2 linked regions of the Mus musculus genome follow. The protein of the gene in region 1 purifies or fractionates together with the protein of each later gene. This does not show direct contact. Links are inferred from orthologs where the notes say so. Each region holds a gene or a part of one and is shown in the gene's direction. Other genes may lie near its edges. The genes, in order: Zcchc10 and Neurl4.

Region 1 (15,581 bases):
AGTTTGACTGAGAAGCCTTTGTGCATGGATCAGCTCTCAGCCCTCGTCGTTTCACACACACAGATTTTGCAGAAAAATCCTCTCCCAGCATGCAATGTTGGACAACATTTTGCTCCTGACACGTTTCTATACTTTTCCACATTTCAGGGACCTGTTATTTATGGAACCTCATACAGGACAAATGACAGTTTACCAAACCTAAACTCTGTTTCCAAAAGAAGAAAAATCTCAGTACGCAGGAGGCAGACACAGGCAGATATTTGTGAGTTCAAGGCTACTCTAGTCTACACAGAGGGTTCCAGGATAGCTAGGGCTACTTCTCAAATTTTTTTCATTTAAAAAAAAAAAACAAGACAAAACAACAACAACACCACCACCTGAAATAGCTCATTTGGTTAATTGCAAGCCCAGCAGGAAAGAAACCCTAGGTTCAGTCCTTAGCATCAAAGGAATTTAAAATCATTGTTGAGAAAAGTAATCCCAGCACAGATGCGGAGGCAGGAGAGTCAGAATTTCAAGGTTACTGTGTGCAGAGAACTGGAAACCGGCCTGGACTACGTGTACCCTTGTCTCAGAAACAAAAGAAGGAAGGGAGAATTAATTCATTGTAAGGAAGTTGTGATAATTAACAATCAAAGGACAGGACAGCCAAATTTAGGAAGATCTATTTCTTTGTTTCTTCAGCGTATAAGTTTGTTCCCTTGCATAGCTATTTATTATCTATCTTTGTCTGTGGGGGTCTTGTTTTGTTTTGTTGTTTGTTTGTTTGGTGGTTTTTTTTTTGTTTTTGTGTTTGTTTTTTTGAGGCTGGGGCTCAATTAGTTCAAGGTGGCCTCAAGCTCATTATGTTGTCAAGGATGACCGTGGATTCCTAATCTTTACAGACCTGTGCCACCATCCTGCAGACAAGCCTATGTTGAACCCTCAATCAGGAGGCGTTCTGCTCGCTCACTCTGTGCAATGCCTCACAGCGGAGGACTGCAGTGTAATTTAAGGACTCTGAGGAGCATGCGCAGCTGCATCTGAAGATGAGAGGCTTGCTCACAGCCCTTTTGTGTATTTTGTTTCTAAGGCTCTCCTAGAAAGTAGAAAGCTCGCCCTGGTGGTGCATGCCTTTAATCCAGCACTCAGGAAGCAGAGTCACACAGCTTTCTGTGAATTCCAGGCCAGGGGGAGATACAGAGTGAGACACTGTCTCAAATAAAATAAGGAAGGAAGGAAAGTGGTTAAAGCAAGATGTCACAGTACTCCAGGGATTTCTGGTCCCACTCTGACCTCTTAAGCCCAGAGAGCCTCATCTATACCCTAAGGCCCAGGATATCTATCCGTATTCCTTTTGCCTGCTACTGCTTTAAAATTAATTAAAGTCCTAGTTAGGGTTCCTACCGCTGTAAGAAAACACCATGACCAAAAGTAAGTTGGGGAGAAAAGAGTTTATTCAGCTTACACTTCCACATTGCTACTCATCACCAAAGAAAGTCAGGATGGAGACTCAACAGGACAAAAACTTGGAGGCAGGAGCTAATAGAGAGGCCATGGAGGGCTGCTGCTTATTGAGTCAATCAGCCTGCTTTCTTATAGAACCCAGGATGACCAGCTTAGGGATGGCACCACCCGCAATGGGCTGGGCCCTCTCTCAAGCAGAACTTGAAGCCAGCTGGAACTAATTGAGACCCAGCCTCAAGAAAATGCCCTATAAATGCTGGATCTCATGAGAACATTTTCTCAGCTGAGGTTTTGTCCTCTATGACTGCTTGTGTCAAGTTGACACAAAACCGACCAGTACAATTAATTAATTAAACATTTATTTATTTGCATAAACAAAATTTATTTATATTATTTTACTTTATTTTTTAATGTACTTATGTTTTATTTACATATGAGTACAAGTGTCAACGTGTGCTTGTGGAGATCAGAGACCAATTTGTAGGAGTCAAATCGCTCCTTCCACCATATGGTTCAGGGGTCAAACTCAGGTCAGGCTTGTTGGCAGCAAGTGTCTTTAGCCTTTAAGAATTCTCCCTAGCCTGTGGCCACTGCTCTTTACAAAACAAATGTTCAGCCTGCTCTAGTCTCCACTATTTAACCAGGTTACTCAGCTGCTTGTCTGCTGCTATAAAAAGGCCCAAGTGGCCGGGTGTGGTGGCGCACGCCTTTAATCCCAGCACTGGGGAGGCAGAGGCAGGCGGATTTCTGAGTTCGAGGCCAGCCTGGTCTACAAAGTGAGGTCCAGGCAGCCAGGGCTACACAGAGAAACCCTGTCTCCAAAAACAAAAAAACAAAAAAACAAAAAAACAAAAAAAAACAAAAGGCCCAAGTGATGTCACAGCAAATGTTTAATTTGGTCTCAATTTTTTTTTTAAGATTTATTTATTATTATACATAAGTACACTGTAGCTGTCTTCTGACACACCAGAAGAGGGTGTCAGATCTCATTACAGATGGTTTGAGCCACTGTGTGGTTGCTGGGATTTGAACTCATGACCTTCAGAAGAGCAGTCAGTGCTCTTGCCTGCTGAGCCATCTCACCAGCTCACTTAATTTGGTCTTAAGACCTAGTTTTTTGTTCTGTTTTGTTTTTTGTTTTTTTGTTTTTCGGGTTTTTTTTTTTTTTTTTTTTTTTTTTTTTTTTTTTTTTTTTGAGACAGGGTTTCTTTGTGTAGCCCTGGCTGCCTGGAACTCACTTTGTAGACCATGCTGGCCTCGAACGCAGAAATCCACCTGCCTCTGCCTCCCAAGTGCTGGGATTAAAGGCATGCGCCACCACCGCCCAGCAAGACCCAGTTTTACTAGTTACATCACTGAGGTTTCTTGAAGTTACTGTTAACCAGTTGTATAAAAGAATAAAAGGGTCAAAACCCCATTTAAAAACCATCCTACCAACCTCGAGGGAAAAGATTAATTGTGAATTCTAGAAGTTAGTTCTTTCCTTTTACCACACAGGACCTGGAAATTGAACTCGGGCCTTTAGTGAGGGTGGCAGCAAGAATCTTTGTCTGCTGAGCCTTATCACCTTCTTCTGATCCTGATGGTTTACACTGTGCTCAGGATCTCACAGGGTCATCCAGAAACTTCTTAGTATTAGGAATGGCTATATCACCTGTAGGGACTGCAAAAGTAAAATGCAATGCCCCTTTGCTGGTGGTACACACCTTTAATCCCAGAACTTGGAAGACAAAAACAGGCAGTTCACTGTAAACTCCAGGCCAGCCTAGTCTACAGACTGAGTTTCAGGATACTCAGTGCTACACACTGTGTCAAAACAAAACAAAAAAGGAAGAATGTTGAGCTGCATGGTGCATGCTTTAATCCCATCAGTCGGGAGGCAGAGGCAGCCAGACCTGAGTGCTTTTGAAACCAGCCTGGTCTACACAGTGAGCTCCAGGATAGCCAGGGCTATGTCGCAAAAACAAAACAGCTAAAAACAAAACAAAACAAAGAGAATGACTAGAGGAAGGTAGCAGAACATGAAATAAGGTATGGGGTGTTCTTACTTATGGGGCTCTCTGGGACTGCACTATTCACCTCTCAAGAAGGTCTTCTCCTAAAACCAGGCACAGTGGCTCATAACTCTAATCCCTTGGGAGGGAGGCAGAAGGACCAGAAATCAAGGCCATCCTCACCTACATGGCAAGGGCCAGACCAACATGGACTTCATGCGACCCTATGTGTCGCTACCATCTCCAACCAGCAGAAAAGAAGCGACAAAACCGATGTCCTTCTCAAGGCAGTTGATTCAGGAACTTAACAATGTGCAGGAAAAAGAATTGCTGACCTCTCTCCGCCATCCCCCTTTATCCCCTCCAGTCCACTCCCCCTCAGCCCAGTCCACATAGGCACAGTTCGTTGGCTCAGGACTACATTGTCACATCATCTGATCTTACATCGTGGTGCATCTGCGCAATGCAGCTCAAGCTACGTGGCTATCTTGAGGGATATGATGAAGTCAGGTGCCAGTCATAAGACTTGGCAGCAGTCCCGGGCGCCATCTTGGGGCCACGGCCACACCCGCTCCTCACACCTATGTAAAAATCAAATATAACAAAATAAGAACCTAAAACAAAACAACAACAAAAAACCCAAAATTGGTCTTTTTTCCTGTTCAGCTTTCATCCTAACCACAGGAATATATAATAGGTCAGAAATGCAACTACCTGTGCCCCAGGCCTTTCCATTCTTCTCTGTTTTTATTAAGGCATCTTATAAAACCAGAATACACTTTAGGAGGCCACCCCAGAAAGAGTCTGCTTTGCCATGGCACATGCCTTTAATCCCAGCACTCGGAAGGCAGAGGCAGGCGGATTTCTGAGCCTGGTCTACAGAGTAAGTTCCAGGACTGCCAAGGTTATACAGAAAAACCTTGTCTCAAAAAAAAAAAAAAAAAAAAAAAAAAAAAGAAAGAAAGAAAGAAAGAAAAAAAGAAAGAAAGAAATTCTGTTTTATATCTACTTAAGTATTCACTCATGCTACATAGAAAATGTAGCTTATTCATGGTTTAAAATTTTTTTTTCAGCAGCATTTACAAAATCATTGTGTCCAAAATTTAGCCTTGTTCTTCTGGACCAAACCTCTGGAAAACAGATACATTAGGTTAGTCTTTCCCTGAGAATACACATAATTATTGTGTTTGGATACATGTGTGGTTAACCTCTAGGCTAAACTGTCTAGGAGGACTTTTAGTTAATGTTCATAGTCTTTTCAAACGATACAACCCAAATATTACAGCAAAAATATCGGCCTCCTCTTTCCTATTTATTTTTACCTCATTCTGTCTCTTGCACTCTCGTACTTGCTCTAATAGAAATCCTTTTAAAACTGGCTAACAAGGAAGGGCGATGATCCAGTGGGCAAAGCTGCCCACAGCCAAGTTGAACAACAGAGTTTAGGACTCATGGGGTGGAAGGAGAGAAATGGCTACAATAAACTGTACTCTGATATCCACACAAGTGTCAAGGCACACTTGTGTTCACACACATACACAATAAATAAATAAATAAAACCTTTTTAGAAATTAATAAGAGCAGGGTCCATACCTATTCCAGCACACAAGGGGCAGAGGCAGGCAGACCTGTGTGATTTTGAGGCCAAACTGACCTACACAGTGAGTTCCAGTATAGCCAAGGGTACATAATTAGACTCTGTCTATTAAAAAAAAAGTTTTAATATTATTGTTAATATTAGTTGGTGTTTGTATTGCTATGAAGAGACACTATGACCACAGCAACTCTTATAAAGGAAAACATGTTGTTGGGGCTGGCTTACAGTTTGTTTAATCCCTTATCGTCGTCACTGTGGGAAGCATGGTGGCATGCACGCAATGGTGTTGAGGAAGGAGCTGAAACTTTTTTTTTTTATTAGGTATTTATTTCATTTACATTTCCAATGCTATCCCAAAAGTCCCCCACACCCTCCCACACCCATTCCCCCACCCACTCACTCCCACTTCTTGGCCCTGGCGTTCCCCCGTACTGAGGCATATAAAGTTTGCACAACCAATGGACCTCTCTTTCCACTGATGGCTGACTAGGCCATCTTCTGATACATATGCAGCTAGAGACACGAGCTCTGGGGGGGTCCTGGTTAGTTCATATTGTTGTTCTACCTATAGGGTTGCAGATCCCCCCAGCTAGGAGGTGAAACTTAATCCACAAGCAGCAGCAGCTGACTGCCACACTAGGCTTACCTTAAACAAAGAGACCTCAAAGCCTGCCTCCACAGTGATACATTTCCTCCAACAAGGCCAACCTGCTCCAGCAAGGGCACACCTCCTAATAGTTCTACTCCCTATGGGCCAGCATTCATACACATGGGTCTTTGGGGGCCATTACTTTTCAAACCATCACAATTATTTAGTAGGAACCTTGAAAGTTTTATGCTGTAGTGTGTGTGTGTGTGTGTGTGTGTGTTGCTAGGGAGATGAAGCCAGGGCTTTTCACATGGTAGTGCAATACTCCTGGGAGCCTTAGCTTACTGGGGACCCCCTGAGTGAACCATGTGGAGCCAGGATCGATACAAAAAGCAAGAGGAATTTATTGTTTCAGTGAACTAGGGTCGTCCCAGACCCAAAGGAGAGGTTGCGACCACCAGTACCCTTTCAGGTGAGTTTTTATATGTTTTCCAGGGGCAGAATAGAGCATCAGCAACTAGGCACAATGTGATTGGTGGAACAGTGCACCCTTTAAACTGATTGGTCTTTAGGGAATGAGGTGACAAGGACTTCGCTTGTCTGAAGGTGAGCAATGGTCAGTCCTGCAGAATATGTCCCCACTGGCAGGTTTGTTCCTGCCCTGTGGTCTGAGAAATGTTAATTAACCTCTCCCTTCCGGAGGGCCAGAGTTTCATGACCTTCCCAAAGTTCCTGAGCTGAGCTTTTCATTAATGGCTATTCATGGTTGTCAACTTGACTATATCTGGAATGAACTACAATCCAGAACTGGAAAGCTCACCTATGATCCTAATCTGGAGGCTGGGAGATACATGTTTCTGACTTGGCATGGAGATCTTGAGGCATAGTGGCTATGAATCCCAGAAGATTAAGTCAGGGAGATCTCTGAGTTCAAGGTCATCTGGGACAAAGCAAGTCCCAGATCCAGGCATGATGGCACACACCTTTAATTTGGGCTACACCTTCTGCTGGAGACTATATAAGAACACTGGAAGAAGGAAGATTCTATCTTCTTCACCTTCTTGCCTCGTGGGGCTGAACTACTGCTAGATCCTTGGACCAATGTTGGGGAGTTGAAGTACAGACTGTAAGTCATCAAATTCTCTTACCCATGAGTTCTGTGACTCTAGAGAACCTAATACACACATACTGGGTAAAAACTCTACCACAGAGCTACATCTCAAGGCCCCAAACTTTCACTCAGGAAATTCATCTGAAGGGGGGAAGGTTGGAAGACGGGCAGATAAGAGGGGATGGGGAGATGAGCAGGCCTGGGATGCATGACGTGAAATCCACAAAGAATCAATTAGAAGTTTTAAAAAGATTTTATCTGGGAAAACAAATGCCTGAACGCAATAAGTCAGGTATGGGCTGGAGGAGGACTAATGAAGAGTGATTTGGTTTTGTAGATATAAAAAAAAATTTTTTCAAGACAGGGTTTCTCTGTGTCGCCTTGGCTGTCCTGGAACTCACTCTGGAGACCAGGCTGGCCTCATATTTGCTATATAGCCCAGGTTGGCCTTAACCTCCTTGTCCTCCTTTCTCTACATCCTGAATCCTGATTTTAGAAACTTGTGTCATAACTTGGGAATTAGACTAGCCTGAGCTAAGTTTCTGGCCAGCCTGAAAAATTAAAGATGTTATCTTTAACAATTAAAAAAAAAAAAAAAAAAAAAGAGGGGCCTGGAGAGATGGCTCAGAGGTTAAGAGCACTGACTACTCTTCCAGAGGTCCTGAGTTCAATCCCAAGCAAACACATGGTGTTTCTGTCTGGTCCTGTCTCCCTCTCCACTCCCCTTACCCCTCCTCCTCTCTTAAGACTCAACCAAACTGAGTAGAATTCAGAGATCTGCATGCCTGTGTCTCCTGAGTGCTGGGATTAAAGGAATGTGCCACCACACCTGGAACTAAATTTCTTTACCTGAAACTTTCTCTGTACCATGCTGGCCTGGAACTCATGTCTGTACTCCCATCACTTATGATTGATTCCTTTCCAGAGCAGCCATGTTGCTGGATTAAAATTCCTCTACACAGCCGGGCAGTGGTGGCGCATGCCTTTAATCCCAGCACTTGGGAGGCAGAGGCAGGCAGATTTACAAGTTCGAGGCCAGCCTGGTCTACAGAGTGAGTTCCGGGACAGCCAGGGCAACACAGAGAAACCCTGTCTCAAAAAAAGACCAAAAAATCCTCTACGCAGATCTTTGAAAGAAAAATCAAAAACAAAAAAAAAAAAACCAAAACAAAACAAAAAACCAACCAAACAACAACAAAATCAGAATGATCCAGTCATCATGACGACACCTGTAATTTCTTGGGGTTTTTGGTGTTTTGTTTTTTGAGACAGTTTGTGTGTGCAGCCTTGGTTTTCCTGAAACTCCCTGTGTAGATGAGGCTGGCCGTGAATCCCATCAAGTGTTGGAATTAAAGATGTGGGCCATTACTTCCTGGCCTTTTTGGTTTTGTTTGGTTTGGTTTTGAGCTAGGGCCATAAGTTTTCCCAGGTTGGCCTCAAAAACATAGCAATCCTCTTGCCTCAGCCTCCAAAATCCTGGATTACAGGATTTTTTTTTTTTAGGATTTTTTGAATACTACAAAATTCCACTGCATATGTATTACAGACCCCTGGTTTGAGATCACCCTTCAAGACCCTATTCATACTGAACACACAAGCCCACATTAGAAAAGACAAACCAGCTAGTGGCCACCATTAGCCTCTTCTGAATTGAGCCCGTCTGGCCCCGCCCAGGACCGCAGAGGTTTCTAAGGACCCGCCCACCGGTGCTAGTTTCCCAAAAACCCGTGCGGCAGACTCCAGCCGCTCCAAGATGGCGACTCCCATGCATCGGCTCATAGCTCGAAGGAAAGCGTAAGTGAGATGCTTGTGGGGTGTGCAGGAGGGCTGGGGGCGTGCAGACGCCTGTCCGCTAGCTAGTGAGCGGGCGCAGGCTGCTGAACTGAGCGGGATTTGAAGAGAGTTCGAAATGAATCCAAGAATTGGTCGTTGGGTGGTCTGTGTTCCTCTGTCCGGTCCACATGTCAAGGGTAGCCTGGATGCTTGATCCCACATCTTCCCTCTCAAGATCCCAAACTTTTCCCTCTTCAGCGTACCTGCCTCCTTCCTATCGCCCTTTCTAGAAACAAGCCTGTCTGCAATGCCTATTAATTCCCCATCGACCGTTTCACTTTCTGCAGCTCTCACTGTAAATAATTATTTTAGTACAATCACTCACAGACAGTTTCTCTGAAGAAAAATGTATTCAAGCTACGCAGCTTAACAGTTTTATTGTGGAACCTGTTGATACTCTAAACAAGTACAGCTAGTGGTTTAAATAGCTTTGTAGGAGCCGGATGGTGATGGTACATCCAAGCATTCAGGAGGCAGAGGTAAGCAGATTTCAGAATTCGGGGCCAGCCTGGTCTACAGAGTGAGTTCCAGGACAGCCAAGGCTACACAGAGAAACCCTGTCTCTCTAAAAACAAAACAAAGTTAAGCTTTAAAGGGGATAAGAGGCTGTGGTGAGGAAAGGCAAAAGGCCCAGTTCAAGTCAGTTCTAGAAATTCATCTGTGAGGGGTGACATTTGAAAACAGACTAAAAGCCATAGAAAGGACTGAGTCAGCAGAGGATTTGGGGAAAGATAGGAAATGGTATATTTGCTATGAGTCTGTTAGAATTTGGGGGTGGGTTGGGCAGATTTAGAGACAGGATTTGTCTGTGTAGCCCTGGCTGTCCTGGAACTCACTCTGTAGACCAGGCTGACCTCGAACTCAAGATATCTGACTGCCTTCAGTATGCTGGGATTAAAAGCTTGTGCCACCATGCCCAGTTTGAATCTCAGTAACTATCAGTCCTGGTGGCAGATGCCTTTAATCCAAGCACTGGAGAAGCAAAATCAGGTGGAGTAGCACTGAGTCAAAGCCAGCCTGATCTAAAGAGCAAACTGCAGGCCAGCCTCAGCTGTGTAGGGAGACCCTGTCTCCGAAAAGAAAAAAAACCAACCAACTCAATAACTACCCATTCAGTGGTGTAAGCGATGTAAGGGGCGGAGACCAGTTACTTGAACATGAATTTGAGTCCAGCCTGGGCAACATAATAAGACTTCATCTTAAAACCCTCCAGTAATGTCATACCCACTCTGCATGGCTGTGTGACATGCATGTCATGTTGTATTTCTCAGACCTATCAAAAGTCATAATACGAACCTGAAAGGAAACAGTTTATACATCTAATACCTGCATTGCTTCGCACTTTGCTTTTGACCTAAGCTGTGGTTTATGAGTTTAAAACCCGAGTGTTGGGCCTGACGTTGGTGGATTGTGCTTTTGATCTAAGCACTCAGGAGGCAGAAGCAAGTGGGTCTGTGAGTTCAAGGCTAGGCCAAGCTGGGTATGGTGGCTCACACTTTTAATCCTAGTATTGTGTGGCAAGTGTCTTTAACCCACTGAGCTGTCTCACCACCACCATTTTTTATTAGTAAGTTAAAAAGAATGATAGCCAGGCACAGTGGCACATGCCAGCACTTGGGAGGCAGAGGTAGATCTATGAGTTTGAGGCCAGTATGGTCTATAGATGGAGTTCCAGGGAAAAAAATCAAAAGCAGAATCAACCAACCAAATGAACAAGCTTTTTCATTTATGTGTGAATAGGAGTAGAGGTCAGAGGACAAGTCGTTGGGGGTCAGATCTTTGGGCTTACAGCAAACACCTTATCCACCCACCCTTTTCCCAGCCTTAAAAGTGTTTTAATGGGTTAGGGGGTCTGGCTCAGTAGTAGAGCATTTGTGAAGGAGGCTCTGAGTTTGATATCTAGCATTACAACAAATAAGGACCTTCATTATCCTTTGTCTTCTGAGCTAAAAATGTTGGTCCGAATACATGATTATTGGAATGGAAAAACTTAAAAAAATTTTTTTTAAAGATTTATTTCTTTATTATATGTAAGTACATTGTAGCTGTCTTCAGACACTCCAGAAGAGGGAGTCAGATCTCGTTACGGATGGTTGTGAGCCACCATGTGGTTGCTGGGATTTGAACTCTGGACCTTCGGAAGAGCAGTCAGGTGCTCTAACCCACTGAGCCATCTCACCAGCCCAAAATTTTTGTTTTTATTATTTTGCTTTGTTGAGACAGGGTCTCTTGCTCTGTAGCTCAGGCTAACTTTAAACTCAGAGCCATCCTCCCACATTGGCCTGCAAAGTGAAAGACTATAAGCATGAAATACCGGACTGGGCTTAGAAGAGCAAGACTCAGTTCCTGTTGCGCCCCAGGTTGCACGCTTTGAACACCGTTTGTGTGCTTGCTAGAGTCAACATCACGTGATACTTTAATGCTCTTCCAGGTCAGAAAGTGTCCCAAGACAAAACTTAAGGCTTGTATTCTGTTATTTTCTTTGTAGTGAAGCCAATAAGCAACATGTAAGATGTCAGAAATGCTTGGAATTTGGACATTGGACTTATGAATGCAAAGGGAAAAGAAAGTACCTACACAGACCTTCGAGAACGGCAGAGCTGAAGAAAGCTTTAAAAGAAAAAGAAAATAGATTATTGCTGCAAAGGTAGGTTTACATGTAATATCCAGGGGAACTTATAAAAATATTTACAGAATCAGCTGACCTCAAGTTTGCTGTCTTCCTGTCTCAGTCTCCTGAGTGCTGGGATTACAGGTGTGTACCGCCGCATCCAGCTTACAATGCTATCGGCTGGTTTTTAATGAGTGGCCACTCTGTGTCCAGGCCCTATGTGTCCTCTTTATAAGTCTTAGCATATTTAAACCTCAAACCTCTACTAATAAGGTAGCTATTATTAACCTCTTTGTATGCTCACATATATGTACCTATATGTATGTGAGCATGTACACACACACAAATTTTAAAAAATAATAGATCACTGAATTAATGCATGCTTTTTCCAAAAAGGAATCTGTAAGAACTTGTTTCTTGGTTTTCTTTTTTTGACTTCCTCCCCTACACCTTATAAATTCAAAATCTGGAGAGGCCCTTAGTCCCACCCAAAGGTCCTGTTGAGAACGGTGAGAGATGATGTCCCGTAGGCACTGGTCCCACTCTCACAAGACAGGGAAATCCTCACATGGCCAGTGAGCCGGGCTAGCATTTATGGAGTAGGAGTGTCAGGTATCAGGGTCATCCTTGGCTATATAGTAAGTCAAAACAAGCCCAGACTATAGAAGACTCTGTCTCCAAAGTTGACAAATAGGGCCAGGTATGGTGGTCCGATCTTTAATAGCACTTGGAAGGCAGAGGCAGGTGGGTCTCTTAATTTGAGGTCAGCCAGTGTTCTATAGTGACATCCTATCTTCAAAAACACCCCTTTCTCAAATTGACAAAAAAGACATTATAAAATTAAAAAATCTTTTGGATAGTAAAATCACTAAATGAGTGAGAAACAAAACAAACCAGCCTACCAATTGGGCTAGGATCTCTGCCTGCTAAGAACTGATATTTACAGTGTGCAAAGAACTAAAATCACTATACATGGAAATATTTTAAAACTTGGACTAAGAAATTTAATAGTTACAAAAACTACAAATGGCTGCGGAATATTTTTTTAAAGGTGTCCAACATCCTTAGCCACAGGGGAAAAGCAAGTTAGAACTAGGTTTATCTTCCGTCTCACCCAGTACAGAGTGGCCACCCGTCAGGAAGACAAAAGGGCAAGGACTGTGGTAAAGAGCAGCTTTACTCATTATTGATGGGAGTGTAAATTGGCACTGTGGCTGCTGTGGACATCAGTGTGGGCTGTAGAAGTAAAAAACAAAACAGAGCAAACCCTAAGTAGTCTCCATGTGACCCAGTTAGAGTATTCTGGGCATGTACCCAAATGGCCCTAATCCTACCACAGAGAAGCTTTAACTGCCATCTTTATTGCTGCTCCATAGCAAGCAAATAGAATCACCAGTGGGGAAAGGGGGGGGGGGCTTTAAGAGAGAGAGAAACAGGGCAGGTATGGAGCTCATGAGACTTGAAAGTCGAAAGGGCCATACGGGGATGGGAGTGTAAAAGGAAGATAAGAAGCAGAGCAGCAGGTAGAAAGACAGAGAACAAGCATTCTCACCTTAGGCTAAGAATGCAGCTAAGTGGTCAGGGCCCTGTTTAGCCTGCATGAGCCCTCCAGTACCACACATGTTCTCCCCCGTCCTCCTCTGTATGTGTGTGTGTGTGTGTGTGTGTGAGTGTGTGTGAGTACATTGTGTGGCTTTGATAAATTCTGTATCAAAACTTCATCTCTTTGAACAAATCATGTTTCTCAAGAATGAATGTAAAAATTAAAATTAGAAACTGAGTTAATACTAAACTTTGCCAGATTCTAACGATAAATATCTACTCAGCCAGTATGGTAGCTCACACCTTTAATCTCAGCATGCAGGAGGCAGAAGCAGGTAGGTTTCTATGATTTCAAGGTCTAACTGGTCTACATAACTAAACGTTACCCGGAGCTGTGTGGTCAGACCCTGTCTGGAATTAACTCATTATTCAGTTCTGCCAGGGCTGGAGTCTGGACACTGAGGATGGTCTAATGTTTGACCCTACCACTGAAAGCTTTTCCGTAATGTGGTCTCACAAAACAAGGCAGTGCCTGCCCCCAGCTAACAGAATCACCTTCTGTTATACCTCAGAAAGTGGAAATGGACACAGCTCCGCAAGCTTTGAAGGAGAATTCTCTGAGGAGATTGGTTAGAGTGAAGCCCGTGCTGGCTCTGTCTGTGGCAGGATCGAGCCTACTCTCCTCATCAGGGAGCAGAGACTCATTTGGGAAACCTTTGAGGTACAAGCACAGGGTAGAAGTCGGGCTGAGATGTAGCTCAGTTTGCAGAGTGCTTGCCTAGCATGCACAAGGTTCTGAGATCCATCCGTGACGCTGTGTAAGGGAAGCGGAGGGGTCAAGCGTTCAGCAGCATCTTCAGGCCTAGCCTAGGCTACGTGAGACCTTGTCTCAAAGAAGACAAAGAAGAACTTTCACTACTTAGAGTTGATCTGAAAAAGAAAAAAGTGAAATTGTATGAGGTATAGAGTGCTTGCCCTGCATGTACCAGCCCTGGACTTGAACCTGCACCGAGTATTGTAGTGATAGGAGCATTCTGTAGCCTGAAAGCTGGGCTGTGTGCGCTGATGGCGGAAACGCTGCTCACGCTCCCCTGCTCTCTGTGGGCTCAGGGAACAGCAGTCTTGCAGTGTTGAGTTTCCATGTCTTTGTTTTAAAACAATAACTAAAATTTTGGAAGCTGTGCAGAAATTAAATTGTTCTTTGTAAAAGTGTGAAATGGGCCGGGCAGTGGTGGCGCACGCCTTTAATCCCAGCACTTGGGAGGCAGAGGCAGGCGGATTTCTGAGTTCGAGGCCAGCCTGGTCTACAAAGTGAGTTCCAGGACAGCCAGGGCTATACAGAGAAACCCTGTCTCAAAAAAACAAAAAAAAAAAAAAAAAAAAACAAAAAAGTGTGAAATGGCCATGTGTAATTCTAGGAAGCCAGATTACAGCTGTTGTGCTGTTGTTGGCCTTGCTTGTTCAATGCGTAACTAAAGTTCTAAACAAAAAAAGAAACAAGTCTGTGCGTTCCATCACCTTAACTACTAACAGACTTTGATGTACAAGAGATAACGTGTGTTTTATCACAGAGTCGGCCACATGCACTGTGTACATCCTGTCCCGGGAGGAAAATGTTTGACTTGATTAGAGCAGGAAACCCTGTGCCCTTGAGCAAATGTGATGAAGAACAGAGCAGGTCTGAGGCTGGCAGAGGTGTCGCAGAGTGTGGTCACTTTATTAATCGGAGCTTTTGTTTCCCTTTGTCCCTTAGCATAGGAGAGACCAACATAGAGAAAAAGATCAAGAAGAAGAAGAGGTAGGTGACTCAATGACACTACCTGGGGGAGAAAGGCCGGTCTGAAGTCTTTGTTTGCAATTTTTTTTTTTTTTTAAGATTTATTTGTAGAAGCCAGCCTGGTCTACAGAGTGAGTTCCAGGACAGCCAGGGCTACACAATGAAACCCTGTCTCAAAAAAAAAAAATTATTTGTTTTATATAAGTGAGGACATTGTCACTGTCTTCAGACACACCAGAAGAGGGCAGCGGATCCCATTTCAGTTGGTTGTGAGCCACCATGTGGTTGCTGGGAATTGAACCTCTGGAAGAGCAGTCAGTGCTCTTAACCACTGAGCCATCTCTCCAATCCCTGTTTGCAAATTTTGATTTTCATTGTGTTTTCAAATATTTTCCTCTTATGTGGAATTTATTGGCTCCGTTTTTCCTTTTCTATAACATTCTAAAATCCTTGTCCCTACAAGACTTTGCTAAAGAGGACTGGAAAAATGGCCCAGTTAGTAAAGTGCTTGCCATGCACCTAAGCAAATAGCTGGGAGCAGCAGCGGCAGGGGTTTGTGCAGCCACAGTGCTGGGGAGGTAAAGATGGGTGGACCCAGTGACTCACTGAGCACCCAGCCCAGCTGAGTCAGTGTGCTCCACGTTCCAAAGTGTAGAGCGACTGAGGAGAACACCTGATGACTGCTGCTCTTCGTACACAAACATACATGTATGCATATTGACATGTACTTGTGTGTGCACACATACCACATAAAGACTTAAATGAAAATTAAATGGTTTTTTAGTCAAGGCACGGTTGCCCTGGCTGGCCTGGAACTGGCTGTGTAGACCGGCCGGGCTTCAGTCTCAGAGATCTGCCTGGCTTATTTGGGTTCTTTCATTGTTTGGTTTTGCTTTTGTTTTGTTTTTACATGTATTTTATGTGTATGTGTGTATAGGGATGCCTCTAGATGACAGAAGTGGACATTGGATCCCTTGGAGCTGAAATTACTGGTATTTTTGAGCTGCCAGATATGGGTGCTGGGATCCGAATTCCTTGACAGGCCTCTGACAGACAGAACAGTAAGGCCCCTAAATGCTGA
Region 2 (15,379 bases), about 17 Mb from region 1:
GAGAAGGAAGGAGGAATGCCAATTATAAAGACCAGAAGGGGCAGAAAGGCAGAGTAAAGTGAGCTTCGGAGAGCATGGAGGTTCTGTTATTAAAGGGTTTTTTTTTTTTTTTTTTTTTTTTTTTTTTACTCTGTAGCCCAGGTTAGCCTGGAACACTTAACAACCTTCCTGCCTCAGCCTCCCAAGTGCTGGGGTTCCATGCCTGATTTGAGAGCCTGGCTTGAGTGGTAGAGGCACTAGGTCCCACCAGTTCCCTCTGGTCCCTGTGGCCTAGGCTCTAAGGTTGGTCCTGCCTGGGGAATGCTGGGGGTGGGTGGGTGGGTGTTGGGACCTATTGGGCCTTCCTTCCCCTCCTTAGTCTCATGGACCTGCACACACTTACCGGAAGCGGGGTGAGTCCTTGAGACATTCTTCAAAATCTAGCTTGACCGTCATCTCAGATGACTTGCTTTGGGGGCCTGGGGGGCCCTGGAGGTCAGGTAGGTGGGGATGTAGGCAGATGCACTCCCCACCCCCCAAGAGGGGTATTAATGGAGAAGAATCCTCTGGTAGGAAGAGCCTGGGTCTGGAATTCTTTCCCCAAAGGGAACGGGGTAACCCAGGAGGAGCTCTAACCCCACCACTTCTAGGCAGCTCTGGGAGGGGTAGGGGTGGGGCCTGGGCGGAGGGGGGTGCTGAGATCACAGAAACCACAGTCCCTCCCCCAGAGACTGCCTGCTGTCACCTTCCATCTGGGACACTGGTCTTTCTCTGCTGCTTTCTCCATTGGTGAATAAATTTTTTGAGGGGGAAATGATGGTCTAGAGTCAAATCTGTCTCTGTCACTTAAGACTTTGTGTGATTAGTTGGGCATAGTGCTACATGCCTTTAATTACAGCAGAGACAGGCAGATCTCTGTGAGATCAAGGCCAGTGTGATCTACAGAGCAAGTCACAGGCCTGCCAGGGCTACACAGCGAGACCCTGTCTACACAAAAACCAGTGTGACACTGAACAAGTTCTCTGACCCTTCAGTTCCCTCATCTGGGAGACAAAAAAGCGAGGGGCAGCGCACGCCTTTCATCCAAGCACTCAGTGGGTGGATCTCTGAGTCTGAGGCCAGCTGGTCCAGAGTGAGCTCCAGGACAGCCAGGTCTACACAGAGAAATCCTGTGTCTTTGTCAGGGTTTCAATTCTTGCACAAAAGCAAATTGGGGAGGAAAGGGTTTGTTCAGCTTACACTTCCACACTGCTATTCATCACCAAAGGAAGTCAGGACTAAAACTCAAGCAGGTCAGGAAGCAGGAGCTGATGCAGAGGCCATGGAGGGATGTTACTTACTGGCTTGCTTCCCCTGGCTTGCTCAGCTTGGTTTCCTTCTTTCTTTCTTTTTAAAATTTATTTATTATATATAAGTACACTGTAGCTGCCTTCAGACACAACAGAAGAAGGTGTCAGATGCCATTACAGATGGCTGTGAGCCACCATGTGGTTGCTGGGAATTGAACTCAGGACCTCTGGAAGAACAGACAGTGCTCTTAACCACTGAGCCATCTCCCCAACCCCTCAGCTTGGTTTCTTATGGAACCCAGGACTACCAGCCCAGGATGACACTACCCACAATGGGCCATTACCCCCTTGATCACTAATTGAGAAAATACCTTACATGGATTCTCCAGATCTCATGGAGGCATTTCCTCAAGGGAGGCTCCTTTCTGTGTGATAACTCCAGCTTGTGTCAAGTTGACACACAAAACCAGCCAGTACACCCTGCCTCAAAGATGGTGTTAATAAATGTACAGTATGCTGATTCTATCAGACATGGACATTCTGCTGCAAGGTTGGGCCTTTTCAAGACCCTAGGTTTTGGGACCAGCAAAGTGGCCCACTGTGTAAAAGTGTTTTTCACACATCCAGTCTGACAACCCAAGTTTGACCCCAGAAACCCTAGCAGAACTTATTATGGAAAGTTCCTCTAACCTCGGACCTCCACAGGTGTACCATGTTAACCAAATAAACCAACAGTGAGTTTTTATTTGTTGTTGTTGTTGGCTTTTTCTTTCTTTTTTTTTTTTTTTTTTTTTTTTGTTTCTGAGACAGGGTTTCTCTGTGTAGCCCTGGCTGTCCTGGAACTCACTCTGTAGACCAGGCTGGCCTCGAACTCAGAAATCTGCCTGCCTCTGCCTCCCAAGTGCTGGGATTAAAGGCGTGTGCCACCACGTCGGGCAATAGTGAGTTTTTAAAGCCCTGGTTTTGTTTTGTGTTCTGAAGCAGGCTCTCACTTCGTAGAACAGACTGTGCTTGATTTTGTGACCTTGCTACTTTAGCCCCTAAGTGCTTGCTCCCAGGAGCACAGTTCCTTGGGTTGCTCTGTTCCTCCTCTTGCTTTGCCTTCCCGGGTTATTGTGTCTGGACATCCCTCCCGCTCTCCTGGGCTCCCAGAGCAGGCCCAGTCTGGACACGCAGCTCCCAGCACTCAGATTCCTGATGTTCTCTTTATTGTCCATTAGAGTGGAGACAGGGAAGGCAACCCTCACCCCACTCCTCGTTGACTACATTTTCCAAGGTCTACGTTCTTTTTTCTGAGTCCACTGGAGCCGCAAGCTTTCATCTAGAGAAAGAAAAGGTTAGGCTTTCTTGCAGCAGGGGTACGCTCTTGTCCATGTGACCCACAAATCTCTAGAACCTACCCACTTAACCCCTCTGCCTCCCTGGGCAGTGCAAGTTACCCCCTTGCCTTGGCCCAGGCTCACGTCTGCGCCCATTCCAGCTTGGAGGGTTCTGGTTACTTCCATGTTCCTTTTCTGAGCTCCCTGGACTTCGGCACCTTGGCCCCTTAGCCCAACAGTTGGGCGTCACCTGTGACCCATTGACTGTGAAGGACATAGTACTAACTAGAGAGGGGTGGGGTGGCAGAGGGGAGTCAAGGAGGAGGCATGGAGCCCTTGGCTGATGCTAGGCTGGAGGGGATCTCAACCCCTCTGAGCATCACTCGGACCTGGTCTCTATAATGTAGTCAATCAACGCCAGGATGTTTAAGACCTCTTTTACTGCCTGTGGCTGATGCACTGACTTAAAAGGGATTGGGAGGGTGGGAGATGGGAGCTTGTTAAGAGCCAGGCCTAGAGAGATGGTGCCCTTGCCAGGTTGCACTAGAGTTAGGGTTATGCTCAGAAAGCGCTAAATGGTTTTGTCATACCCAAAGACGCTTCCAACAGTACCTGGAGTGCCTTTCGGATTCTCAGTAACCCAGGTCAAACCTGAAGGACCTGGAAGTAACAGGAGGACAGTTTGTTCCGTCCTCCCACCCCACCCCCCAGGCTGTCCTCCCCGGGCCATCCTCCCCAGGCCATCCTCCCCAGTCTCTCACTATCCTGTTCTTCATCTTCTATATCCTCTCCGAGCTCTGGGCGGGAGCCGGACCTCAGATACCTTCCTTTGCTGTAGTATTCCTTGCGCTGTAGATTAGCCAGCTGCCCCATGGAAGAGTCTGAGGCTGATGGGAACTGGTTTCTATAGGTAGCAGAATCTGAAAAAGTACCCCAGACAATCTTGAGCCTGTGGCCACCTGCTCTGCCTTTGAGTCAGGCCACTACCGGATTAGAGTTTAAGTTCTCATCTAACACCCCTCCCCCATGTTAAAAAGCCTTCAGTGAACCCCCATCCCCCAAGGGTTCTCTTAATCTCTCTGTTCAGTTTGTCTCTGGAGGCCCCCCCCCCCCCAGTGGAGACTCAGCTCCAGTTGTTCCCATTCCTTCCCTAGCGTCCCCTCCAGTCACTGCCTCTCTGTCAGACGAGCAAGACTGTAGGCCAATGCTCTCTGAATAAATCAGAATACAGCAGAGATGTGAGGAGCAGAGAGCCAAAGAGAACAGATTTGAAAACATGTAAATTTCAAGGAGATCTGGGCTCTGGAAGAGTCTCTTGTCTCCACTCTGCAGCCCCAGGAGGCCCCTGTCACTAACCGTTGGTGCTTAAGACATGGCTATCAGTCATCAGGACAGTGTCATTTTTGACTCCTGTGGCCAGTCTTCCTGCCCAGCCTTTCTCCACAGGCCTAGGCTTCAGGTCTGTCGCCACAGCTTGATTACTGCTGCTGATGCTGGCACTAGCCCCAATGCTCTCTTCCTCAGTGGGCAGGTTTTTTGGGGACTTTAGGAACTTCCCTTCACTGTAGTGTATCTTTCGGTGCTTGTCAAAATCACTGGAGTCTGTGGGCCAGCGTGAAAGCTTAGCTTTCCCCCAAGGTCTTCACAGAAGGGCTGCCCCCCACCCAAGCTCCCCTGTCCATCGAGACCCACCCCACGTCTCACATACATGTCTTGGCAAAGTTGTCTGTGTCCTTTGAGTTTTTGTTGTCTCCGTACTGGAGGACCTTGGGGAGGAAATTGTCCATTGTGGCAAACCTGAAGGGGAGGGAGACTAGTTGGGGGTACAGAAGGGAAAAAAAATGATGGTGGGGGTAGGTGTTGGGTGGGGACCAAGCTGCTGATTGCCTAGATCAGCTTTGGTTAGGCCTGAGGAGGTAGGTAGTACCTACCATTTTAGGGTTTGAGGAACAAAGCTATCTGAGACTGCCTTCAAAGGTATGAGGGCAGAGGGCACAGCTCAACTAATCTCTGAGAGGGCTCTCACCTCTCTGCCACTGACTGAGGAGTCACCTTGAGAGAAGATTCTGCAGATGGGTCCTCATCGGTGTCCTGCAGCCTGCAGAGGAGGAGGAGGAGGAGGAGGAGGCAGTGTTTGTGCCCCGAGGCTTCTCTGCCTCTTCCTCATAGCCACATGTTAGAATACAGTTTAGGCTCAAAAGCTAGGGCTTAGCACCTGTGGTAGGGGGTTCTGGGCTCATCCGCCTTCATAAAGCCATAGTCTTTGTCAGCAGGGTGGTAGGTAGCCAAGATGTTCATTTCATCCCAGCGCTGAGACTTCCTAAGGTGAGGGAAGGAGCAAAGGAGGAAGCTCTTCTGGCGACCCTCTCCTAACAGAGAGGTCTCCTTCATTCTTCCCGGCATTCAAAAAATTCTTCTTATATTCCCTCGTAGAGGCTAGGATGGGAGCCAGATACCCAGTGATAATCAGTGCTGTGTGGCCAGGATTCCTGTGACACCTGCTGCCCTCTCCAAGTCATGGAACTTCAGATTTCCAACCTATTTGACCTCACCACCTCTCCCTAACCAGGGCCTTGGGACTCTGTTTTTTTCTTGGCTTCAGCTCAAGGTGTCCTGAACTCCTCCCTCCCTCCCGTCTCAGGGCTGCTGGCTAAAAGCTGAGTTGCTGCTATTTAAGCTCTCACCTTTCTTACTCTCTAGCCCTCCTTCCCTCGCTCTTTCCCCCTGCCTTTCTACAATAAAGCTCTAAAACCATTAAAAAAAAAAAAAACAAAAAAACAAAAAAAAAAAAAAAACCAGCTGAGTTGCTTACTTCTCCGAACCGGGGGGTTTCTTTATCAAAATGGAGCTGCTGTTTTTTAGGATGCTCCGAGGCCGCTCCGTGAAAGATGTCCCGGAGTGTGTACTACTCTCCGAGCTGTACACTTTAGCCTCCTCCGGCCCGGGGGTGGACGCCTTAGTTGCACCAGTTCCAGTGCCAGGGGATGTGCTGGACCCAAGGCTTGCAACCTCCTGAAGTTGCGGAGCGGGTCCTGAATTGAGGGTCACTGCCCCTTCAGAGGGCTGAATTGGACCAGGACTGCGGACTACAGGGTTCCCGGAATGCAAGAGGGAGCCAGGACCGCGAAGCAAGGCTACTCCGGGGGGTAATCCGGTGTCTGTTTGCATACCTCTGGCACTGCCAGGTACTGCCCTAGAAACCCCCCCAGGGGATTCTGCACTGAGGCCACTAACAGGTGCGAGAGACTCCGGCTTCTCCATAGCTCAACTTGGTAACCACTTCAATTCCACTGCCTACCCTTCTAGCTGCACATAGCCCTGCCCGTTGGCCCTGCCCCCATCGCGGCGGGCGGTGGGCGCTGGGGGCTCCGGGTCAGACCGGACCTCCTCTGCCTCTTCTCCCTGGCGCTGAGGCAGGTGAAAGGTCGACTATCAGACTTCAGCCTGGGAGTTCCTCCGCACACCCTTCCCTTATTGTTACACCCCAAGACTTTCTTTGTCTCTGTAATTTGTTCCCGCCCTTCTCCATCACCGCCCTTCTCCGAATCAACCAATCACAGTCAAGGGGCCTGGCCAGCGGTGAGGAGCCTTGTGATGTCACAGCCCCGCAACACCAGGGAGAGCCTGAGTAGGGCTGGGTTCTGTTAATAGCTCTCAGGTAACCTCTCAGAGGTGTCCGCTCTGTCCCTTGAGATTACCCAACGGGACACCGCTAGGATTTTTATTAGTAACTTTTAAGATTTAAGAGTTTCATTGGCACAGAGCTCAAGTTGGCCTTGAAATGTGTGCGGGTAGGAGAGGTGTGATGCAAAGTCTGTGGGGCCGGAGCGGGGTGAGGTGCGAGACTGGGTCAAGGAGAGGTGTGATGCGTGATCGGATTGCGACATTTCCGGCCTCGGCACTGTGAAGGGCTGAGACTTGGATTTATAAAACTACTTTTTCTCTGTCCCGAAGATAGCGTTTACTTCCATCGCCTTAAAGCGTGCGGTGTTAGGGGAAGCCACCAGCCCTTGCGTTAAGGCGAATGCTCTAATATGTCGCTTTTCCCTAACAAGGGTTGGGTCCAAGGCGCCGGGCGACGTCGCAAAGTGTATCTGGGCGCCAGCACGCCTTCGTCGCAAAGACGCCTGCGGCGGGCGATTCTGCCATCCACTGTCGCAAAAGCAGCCCAAATCTTCCCGGCTCTCGTAGCCTCTGTCGTCCCGCTGGGCCGTAAAGCAGTCCCCCGACCCCGTCGTCCTTCCGTTCCCCTCGTGAGAGACCTCGGTTCCTTAGCTGCGGACGCTTCAGTGCCGTAAAGCACACCAGGCCCCAGCCCCCCGGCCGTATTCCCCCAGGGCGTCTGGCCGCCGCGGTTGCCACGGTGCCGCCAAGCGCGGCTGTCGCGCGGCCGCGGTATCAGCGGCGATGGCGGCGGGGTCGGGTGGGAGTGGGGGCTCTGGGGCGGGCCCCGGGCCAGGACCGGGGCCCGGCGGGGGTGGGGGCCCTGGCAGCAGCGGACCAGGCCTGGGGTCCGGCGGGGGTCTCGGCGGTGGCGGGGAGCTGCACCCGCGCACCGGGCGCTTGGTCAGCCTGTCGGCCTGCGGGCGCACGGCGCGGCGGCAGCAGCCGGGCCAAGAGTTTAACCACGGGCTGGTGCTGAGCCGAGAACCCTTGCGCGATGGACGCGTCTTCACCGTCCGCATCGACCGCAAGGTGCAAAGCCGGGGCAGCTGAAACGAGGTGTGGAGGGGAGTGGGAGGGGACGGGAGGGAGAAGCGGTAGGACTGCCAGAAGGTCTGCATCTCCAACCGAGCCTCCAGGTACCGATAGCGAGCCGGCACACTGTAGTGCACCGGGGAAGAGAAAGGAGAAGGACACGGAGCAGACACATTCATTCTGAAGGAGCATTCGTTTCCCGCAGGACAGGGAGCCAGGGTCCGGTGGTTAGAATGGCTAGTGAACACGTCTAGCACAATCTCTTAGGGATGGAAGACTGACAGGTGCCCGAGATGGAAGAGTAGAGAAATAATAAAAAGCGCAAACTGTTGACAAACGTCCCAAACCAGAAAGATAGATGAGGAGACATGCGAAAAAGGGAGTGTATGTGACTTGCTTGACTCCAAAACGAATTTGGAAAGAGAAGAGAATGAATTTGGGTGGAGCTTTGCCCTACTAGAGTATTGGGGTTGGGAATGAGAGTGATGTAGGAGAGCGAGCATTGTGGACCTAAGAAGCATGGGATTGGAGTGGCTGAGGAGCTACAGAGACTGGGAAGTAAGAGGAGATCGGGTTAAAACCAGGGCCTTTAACCAGCTTGTTCAGTGGGTAGAGGGGGTGATGTGCTAAAACACGTGTCAGCAGACACAGATGCTGAGAGCCAGTGGGTCCTGGTAGTTATGGAGGCTAGTTCCAAAAATTATTTGTGTGTCTATGTCAGTGGCCTCAGAGGACAGGGTGAGAGGCACACGGTGCTCTGGAATGTGGCCTCTGGTGATGGGATTTCATACAGAAACTCTGTCCACCACCCTCTCATAGGTCAACTCCTGGAGTGGCTCCATTGAGATTGGAGTGACAGCACTGGATCCCAGTGTGTTGGACTTCCCGAGCAGTGCCACCGGGCTGAAGGGAGGCTCCTGGGTAGTGTCAGGCTGCTCAGTGCTGCGGGACGGGCGCTCTGTGTTGGAGGAATATGGCCAGGACCTGGACCAGCTTGTCGAAGGGGACCGTGTGGGTGTGGAACGCACAGCCACTGGGGAGCTCCGGCTCTGGGTAAACGGGCGGGATTGTGGTGTGGCAGCCACAGGCCTGCCTGCTCGTGTCTGGGCTGTTGTGGACCTTTATGGCAAGTGCACCCAGATCACTGTGCTGCCCTCCGAGCCAGGCTTCAGCCCTCCCACTCCTGTCCCCACACCTCCCCTTGAGCCCTTGGCCCCTCCAGAAGATTCAGCCCTGTTGGAACAGGGGACCTCTGTGGATGAAGGTGAGAACACAGCTTCGGGGAAACATGAGTTTTGGCTGAAGAAATGGGGCGAAAGCAGTCACAAGTCAGCTGGGGGAGGGAAGGGACCATTGAGCCCAGAGCCATTACAGGGGAATAGAGGGGTTAGAAGAGATGGTCTCCTGACTGGGCCCTGAAGCATGAGCTGAACCCTATTCCCCTCCCATCCTACCTGGTCCCTAGCCTTCATGGTGTCCCCAGCGCAGGCACGGCCGGAGACGTTTCCTAACAGCCTTGATTCGCATAATGGTGAGGGCTTCGGGGAAGGCCAGGGAAGGGGAGTGGGTACTGAGGCGGACAGGGTGGGATCTAAGAGACGGTAGGGAGAAGAGGGTCCCAAGCTGGCTGTGGGGAAGAGAGCTCTGTCTTGACTTCCTTCTTCTTGCTGCTACAGACTTTGCCAGTATGGAGCTGTCTGAGGTGGTGAGCAACGCCATCCTGTCTGCCTACAATGGGGGCCTCCTTAATGTGAGCCTGAGCTCCCCACCAGCAGGGGACGGACTGGCATCCAGTGGGCCAGCCACTTCTCCCATCCTCACTTCCAACGATGCCCTGCTCTTCCATGAGAAGTGTGGGACCCTCATCAAACTCAGCAACAACAATAAGACAGCAGAGCGCCGGAGGCCCCTGGATGAATTCAACAATGGAGTTGTCATGACCAACCGCCCACTTCGGGATAATGAAATGTTTGAGGTATGTAAAATCCTGGAGTCTGACTGTGCTTCCTGCCAAAGATTTGGAGCTAAACGTAGGGATTGATCTTTGGCGGCAATATGCCAACAACTGGTGAAGAACCAAGGCTTTGAGGGCCTGTCTTCTGTTGTTATATTTCCTGGACCTGTCTACTCTCACTCAACCCCAGATCCGGATCGACAAGCTTGTAGACAAGTGGTCTGGTTCCATCGAGATTGGTGTCACCACCCACAACCCCAATAGCCTGGAGTACCCAGCCACCATGACCAACCTGCAGTCAGGTACCAGCTCTGGGTAGGGGTAGGGACACAGGCTTGGAGTTGGTGAGATCCAGACAGCCTTTCCCTAACCAGGTGTCCATCTTTACCAGGCACCATCATGATGAGTGGCTGTGGGATCCTGACCAACGGCAAAGGCACTCGGCGGGAGTACTGCGAGTTCAGTCTGGACGAGCTGCAGGTGAGTGTGGAGCACAGCAGCCTGGGCAGTCCAGGGGAGCCCGGCCACCTGGGCCACCAGGCAGTGTCCCTTTCTGCATGAGGCTTCTTCTGAGGAGGCAAGGCCGTCTGGCAGGAGCTAAGGTATGCTCATTAGTAGCACCTTTTTTCCCTTTGGTGCTAGGAATGGAACCTAGGACCTTGGACACGTGTGGCAAGTGCTCTAGCACTGAGTTACAGCTCTAGCCCAATAGCACTAAGTAGGCCGAGATTTTAGAGCAACAACAACAAAAAAGATTGTTGTTGTTGTTGTTGTTGTTTTAATTTATTTATTTATTATATGTAAGTACACTGTAACTGTCTTCAGACGCTCCAGAAGAGGGCATCAGATTTCATTACAGATGGTTGTGAGCCACCATGTGGTTGCTGGGATTTGAACTCAGGACCTTTGGAAGAGCAGTCGGCACTCTTAACCGCTGAGCCATCTCACCAGCTCCAAGATTGTTTTTAAAATAGTTTAATTTAGGGCTAGAGAGATGGCTCAAAGGTTAAGAGCACTGACTGCTCTTCTAAAGGTCCTGAGTTCAATTCCCAGCAACCACATGGTGGCTCACAACCACCTGCAATGGGATCCGATGTCCTCTTCTGGTGTGTCTGAAGACAGTTACAATGTACTCACATAAATGAAATATTTAAATCTTTTTAAAAGAAAAGTTTAATTTAGTACCTACTTTACATTGGGCATTTAGGAAATGTGGAATTATTGTGTCTGGAAAGCAGGGACCCAGCTCCTGCCCAAGAGTGGCTTTATTTGAAATTCTTCAGTGGGTGGTCTCCTGTGAAATGGGGTGGCAGAAAGTGCCCAGGACTGCTGGAACCTGAGCCTGAGTGTAGCTGAATTCCAGACTAGGGTCTTTCTTCTTTGGTTAGGAGGGTGACCATATTGGCCTCACGAGGAAGTCCAACTCTGCCCTACACTTCTTCATTAATGGCATCGATCAGGGTAAGGTGGCACACAAGAAAGACTCCTGGCTCAGGGCCTTTAGTGGGTCATACCTCACCTTTCCTTGTGGTGCTTGCTCTTCCTGTTTGACTCTTCTTTCATCCTGTTCTGCTACAGGCGTAGCTACTCCATTGACACCACCAGTTGTATATGGTGTAGTAGACTTGTATGGAATGGCAGTGAAAGTGACCATCGTCCATAATAACAACCACAGTGACCGTCTCCGCCGGAACAACGCTATCCTGAGGGCTCTGTCCCCCGAGGGTGCTCTTCGTCGTGCTGCCCCTGCAGCCCAGGCAGAACCTGAACGCTTGCTCTTCCATCCTAACTGTGGCCAGAAGGCAGCTATCACCCACGAAGGACGCACTGCCCTGAGGCCCCAGTATGACCCATGGGATGGGAAGACACCTGCAAGGGGGCCCTAATAGGATGCGGGGGCACTGAGGTGGGAACATGGGAGGGTGTCTGTTATAGGAAGCCCTGGACAGAAAGGGGAAGACTTCTGGGAGCAAGAGATCTGGTTGGTTGTCTTGGGGCAGTGGGTATCAGACTAATATTCCTAGTTTAAGCCTTGACACACTCAGTATGCTGAGAGCTGAGTCCTCACTTGCTGTGTCCCCAGTGCCACTGATGACTTCAATCATGGCGTGGTACTGAGCAGCAGAGCCCTCCGGGATGGAGAGGTGTTCCAGGTGCGCATTGACAAGATGGTGGACAAATGGGCTGGCTCCATTGAGATTGGTGTCACCACCCATAACCCTGCCTACCTCCAGCTACCCTCTACTATGACCAACTTACGCTCTGGTGAGCCCCACGAAGGGCAGGGTCGATGCAGGGTGCCAGAGAAGCAGCAGCTCCAGGGTTACAGTTTGTTCCTTGTTCCTCATTATCTGCTGCCACTGCTGTTCCTACAGGGACCTGGATGATGACTGGGAATGGGGTCATGCACAATGGGACAACCATCCTAGATGAATATGGGCACAACCTGGACCGCCTCAAGGTGAGAGAGCAGTCATACTGATTGGATATAGTTCTGGGGGAGTCAGGGAGGCTTGGTAGATGCAGGGCCATCTCAGGCAGGAACTCTGCCTGACTCCTCACTCCAGCCTCACTTTTTCCAAGGCAGGGGACACCGTGGGTGTGGTGCGGCGGGAGGATGGAACGCTCCACTTCTTCGTCAATGGGATGACTCAGGGCCCTGCTGCCTGGAATGTCCCCCCGGGGGTCTATGCTGTTGTTGATCTCTACGGCCAGGCTGCCCAGGCTACTATTGTGGATGACGTGGGTGAGGGCCCGACAGGGCTGGGGTAGAGGATTAGGGTGGCCTTGGGAATCCTTAAAGAAACCTAGAGACTTAATGGGTGATATCTACTATTGCAGAGGTGCCTCCAGTCTCTGAGCCACTCCCTGAAGGAAACAACCAGATGTCTCCCAGTTCTCCATCCTCAGCAGCTGGGGGCTCTGACCTTCGCTTCCACCAGCTGCACGGCAGTAATGCAGTCATCACCAATGGTGGCCGCACTGCTCTCCGCCACAACTGCCGCAGCGAGTTCAACGATGCCATTGTCATTTCCAACCGGTCAGTCTCTAGATTTTCGTGTCTCTACTGTCCCACTGCCTACTTACGTAGGGCCTTAGTGATCCCCACTCTCCCTGACAGAGCCCTGCGGGATGGAGAACTGTTTGAAATTGTCATTCAGAAGATGGTAGATCGTTGGTCAGGCTCCATCGAAGCTGGTGAGGGACCCTCTGTGCAGGGACTGTAGGGTACAGGATCCCTGGGTCCTCGGGATCACTTCTTACCTTGTGTTTTCTCCTAGGAGTTACTGCTATTCGGCCGGAAGACCTAGAATTTCCCAACACCATGACAGACATTGACTATGATACGTGGATGCTGAGGTTAGGCCGTCTAACCTTGAATCCAGCTTAGCAGGGATGGCTGGAGCTGGGTAATATCAGACAACTAAGCCTGTGGTGGCTATAGGACTGAAAGACTCTGGAACCTAATATCCTTTCTCCTCAGTTCTGAGAATTCCCACCCAAGTAGCCCACAGAGCAGTTCCTGCTTTTCTCTGTGGGAATTCTAGGGACAAAGACAGAACTGGGCCTCAGACTAAGGTCAAGTCTCTGTGCCTGATGTCCATAACACTGGATGGTTTTGATAGGCAGAGACCGAGTAGGGGCCAATTAGTGATGAGGCAGGGAAGCTAAATCCCTCCTCCTGTCTTCTCAGTGGTACAGCTATCATGCAAGATGGCAATACGATGCGCAACAACTATGGGTGTGATCTGGACGCGCTGGGCACAGGTGCACGAATTGGCATGATGCGAACTGCCAAGGGTGATCTGCACTATTTCATTAATGGACAGGACCAAGGCGCTGCCTGCTCAGGCTTGCCTCCGGGTAAAGGTGACTACTCTGGCTTCCAGCCTGCCCCCCTTTGCTCAGATGGATCAGGCCCTCAGGCTTCTGATGCCTTCTTTCCTACACAGAGGTGTATGCAGTTGTGGATCTCTATGGCCAGTGTGTCCAAGTGTCTATCACCAATGCTACCGGCCCCATGGACAACAGCCTGGCCACCAGCAATACTGCCACTGAGAAGTCATTCCCCTTGCATTCCCCAGGTATTGCTTAAGGAGTTTGTGAGTAGGGGGGTACTTATATCTGAGACACAGAGTCTCATAATCTCCTTGACTCCCAGAGTCTAACATACCATGTACTGGGCATCTTGAGTCTTACTGTGGTGCAAGGTGTCCAGAGGTCTTGAGTCATGGCAGATGGGGCCTTAGCTTCACCAGCAGCCTGTCTGAAGGTAGTCACCTAACCCTACCCCTTTACCAAACATCTCTCCACAGTGGCGGGTGTGGCTCACCGATTCCATAGCATGTGTGGCAAGAATGTCACTCTGGAGGAGGATGGCACACGGGCAGTCCGTGTGGCTGGCTACGCACATGGCCTCGTTTTCAGCACCAAAGAGCTCAAGGCTGAAGAAGTTTTTGAGGTGGGCTGCAGAGAAGTAGAAGGGGCTTTACCAGCCCGTCAGACAGGACCACCCAATGTTTGCTTTCTCACAGGTGAAAGTGGAAGAGCTAGACGAGAAGTGGGCAGGCTCCCTCCGGCTGGGGCTGACCACACTTGCACCAGAGGACATGGGGCCTGGAGCGGGCAGTGGTCCAGGGCTGCCTCCTTCCTTGCCTGAACTCCGGACAAAGACCACCTGGATGGTGTCCAGCTGTGAAGTGAGGCGTGATGGGCACCTCCAAAGGATGAACTATGGCCGGAACCTCGAGAGACTAGGGGTGAAGCACCTGGCACTGGAGCAGGCGGTGGGGGCTAGGGGTGAGAGTAGAGACAGATCACTGAGCTGGCCTTGTTGAACCTTGGATCTAGGTGGGAAGCCGTGTGGGCATTCGTCGGTGTGCAGATGACACAATGCACATCTTGGTAGATGGAGAAGATATGGGGCCTGCTGCCGCTGGCATTGCCAAGGTAGATCTAAGAGCTTCTTTGAATTTGGGGAGGTACTAGTTGGTTGGAGTTCTTGTGCTGATTTCTGTTTTTTTTTTTTTTTTCTTGTGCTGATTTCTGACTTGCTTCCTTGGTCTGTTCCCAGAATGTGTGGGCTGTGTTGGATCTGTATGGGCCAGTACGCAGTGTGGCCATTGTCAGCTCCACAAGGCTGGAGGAACCAGAAGGCACCCAGCCGCCTTCTCCCAGCTCAGACACTGGCAGTGAGGTCGAGGAAGATGATGAGGTCGAGGAGCAGGGGCTGAGAGTAAGGCTGCATTAGGGCCTGCTGGGTTGCTACGCTACCAGTTACCAGGGTAGTGGGATCTATCTCCTGGTCCAGCAAAGTTCATAGTTGAACTCTGTGTGCACTCTAGTGTAGTGGGTAAAACCTGCTATTGATATCCTGTTTAGCTCACTCTGTATTTCCACTCCAGGGCCAGAATCAAGTGGGGATTGTGCCCACAGCCCTTGAATTCCTGGAGAACCATGGGAAGAATATCCTCTTATCCAACGGGAACCGCACAGCCACTCGGGTGGCCAGCTATAACCAGGGCATCGTTGTCATCAGTCAGCCCCTGGTGCCCCATATGCTTGTTCAGGTGTGCCTTTCTTCCTGCCTAGCTTATTACTACTCCAGGGTGAGAGGCCCTTTCTCTTGCAAATGAAAAGATAGGTAAGAAATTAGCCAGCTGAGCTAGTAGTGGTGGCACATGCCTTTATTCCCAGTACTTGGAAGCAGAGAGACGCAGGCGGATCTTTGTGAGTTTAAGGCCAGCCTGGTCTACATAATGAGTTCCAGGACAGCCAGGCCTATGTAGAGAAATGCCTCAAAAGAACAAAAAACCAAACAGAAGAACAAAAGCCAGTTGAAGGAAGTCTTTAGGAACAGACCAGGGTTCAAAGAGAAAGGATGTTGGGGGTACAGTTCAGTGTAGAACATTTGTTTGACGTGTACAAGGGCCTGGATTCTGTTCCCTGCAGCAGTAGAGACAGGGAAGGAGATATCAGAGTTGATAGTTTCTGCTCTCTACAAACATCAAGAAGGGCAGTGTATCAGGCAGGTCACACTCTGTACAGAGACTGATGTGGGTAGGTGGGTGGCCTCTGTCTGTAAGCTGTGCATGTAGAATAGTCCCTTCTCGTGCAGGTGCGAATAGACTTCCTGAACC

What was found.
Region 2: the proteins of Zcchc10 (region 1) and Neurl4 purify together in Homo sapiens (co-immunoprecipitation; 3 studies listed by BioGRID and IntAct, with this or other methods). This does not show direct contact. The link is inferred for Mus musculus from reciprocal best matches to the Homo sapiens genes ZCCHC10 and NEURL4.

What each region holds. Positions count from the first base shown.
Region 1 is NC_000077.6:53,316,211-53,331,791, forward strand, and holds the start of Zcchc10 (zinc finger CCHC domain-containing protein 10), read left to right. Parts: upstream 1-8,478; 5' UTR 8,479-8,490; coding exon 8,491-8,531; intron 8,532-11,058; coding exon 11,059-11,217; intron 11,218-14,476; coding exon 14,477-14,521; intron 14,522-15,581.
Region 2 is NC_000077.6:69,894,904-69,910,282, forward strand, and holds the start of Neurl4 (neuralized-like protein 4), read left to right. Parts: upstream 1-6,912; 5' UTR 6,913-6,994; coding exon 6,995-7,282; intron 7,283-8,104; coding exon 8,105-8,549; intron 8,550-8,750; coding exon 8,751-8,816; intron 8,817-8,961; coding exon 8,962-9,260; intron 9,261-9,429; coding exon 9,430-9,541; intron 9,542-9,630; coding exon 9,631-9,719; intron 9,720-10,627; coding exon 10,628-10,700; intron 10,701-10,817; coding exon 10,818-11,082; intron 11,083-11,322; coding exon 11,323-11,504; intron 11,505-11,614; coding exon 11,615-11,700; intron 11,701-11,822; coding exon 11,823-11,985; intron 11,986-12,080; coding exon 12,081-12,279; intron 12,280-12,360; coding exon 12,361-12,437; intron 12,438-12,520; coding exon 12,521-12,599; intron 12,600-12,933; coding exon 12,934-13,109; intron 13,110-13,192; coding exon 13,193-13,324; intron 13,325-13,555; coding exon 13,556-13,701; intron 13,702-13,774; coding exon 13,775-13,999; intron 14,000-14,090; coding exon 14,091-14,189; intron 14,190-14,313; and 5 more. Other genes in the region: Acap1 (arf-GAP with coiled-coil, ANK repeat and PH domain-containing protein 1), read right to left, coding at 383-435; 2810408A11Rik (protein phosphatase inhibitor 2-like), read right to left, coding at 2,531-2,589, 2,708-2,851, 3,200-3,247, 3,349-3,507, 3,944-4,189, 4,296-4,384, 4,614-4,685, 4,803-4,907 and 1 more. UniProt on the Homo sapiens protein: Promotes CCP110 ubiquitination and proteasome-dependent degradation. By counteracting accumulation of CP110, maintains normal centriolar homeostasis and preventing formation of ectopic microtubular organizing centers.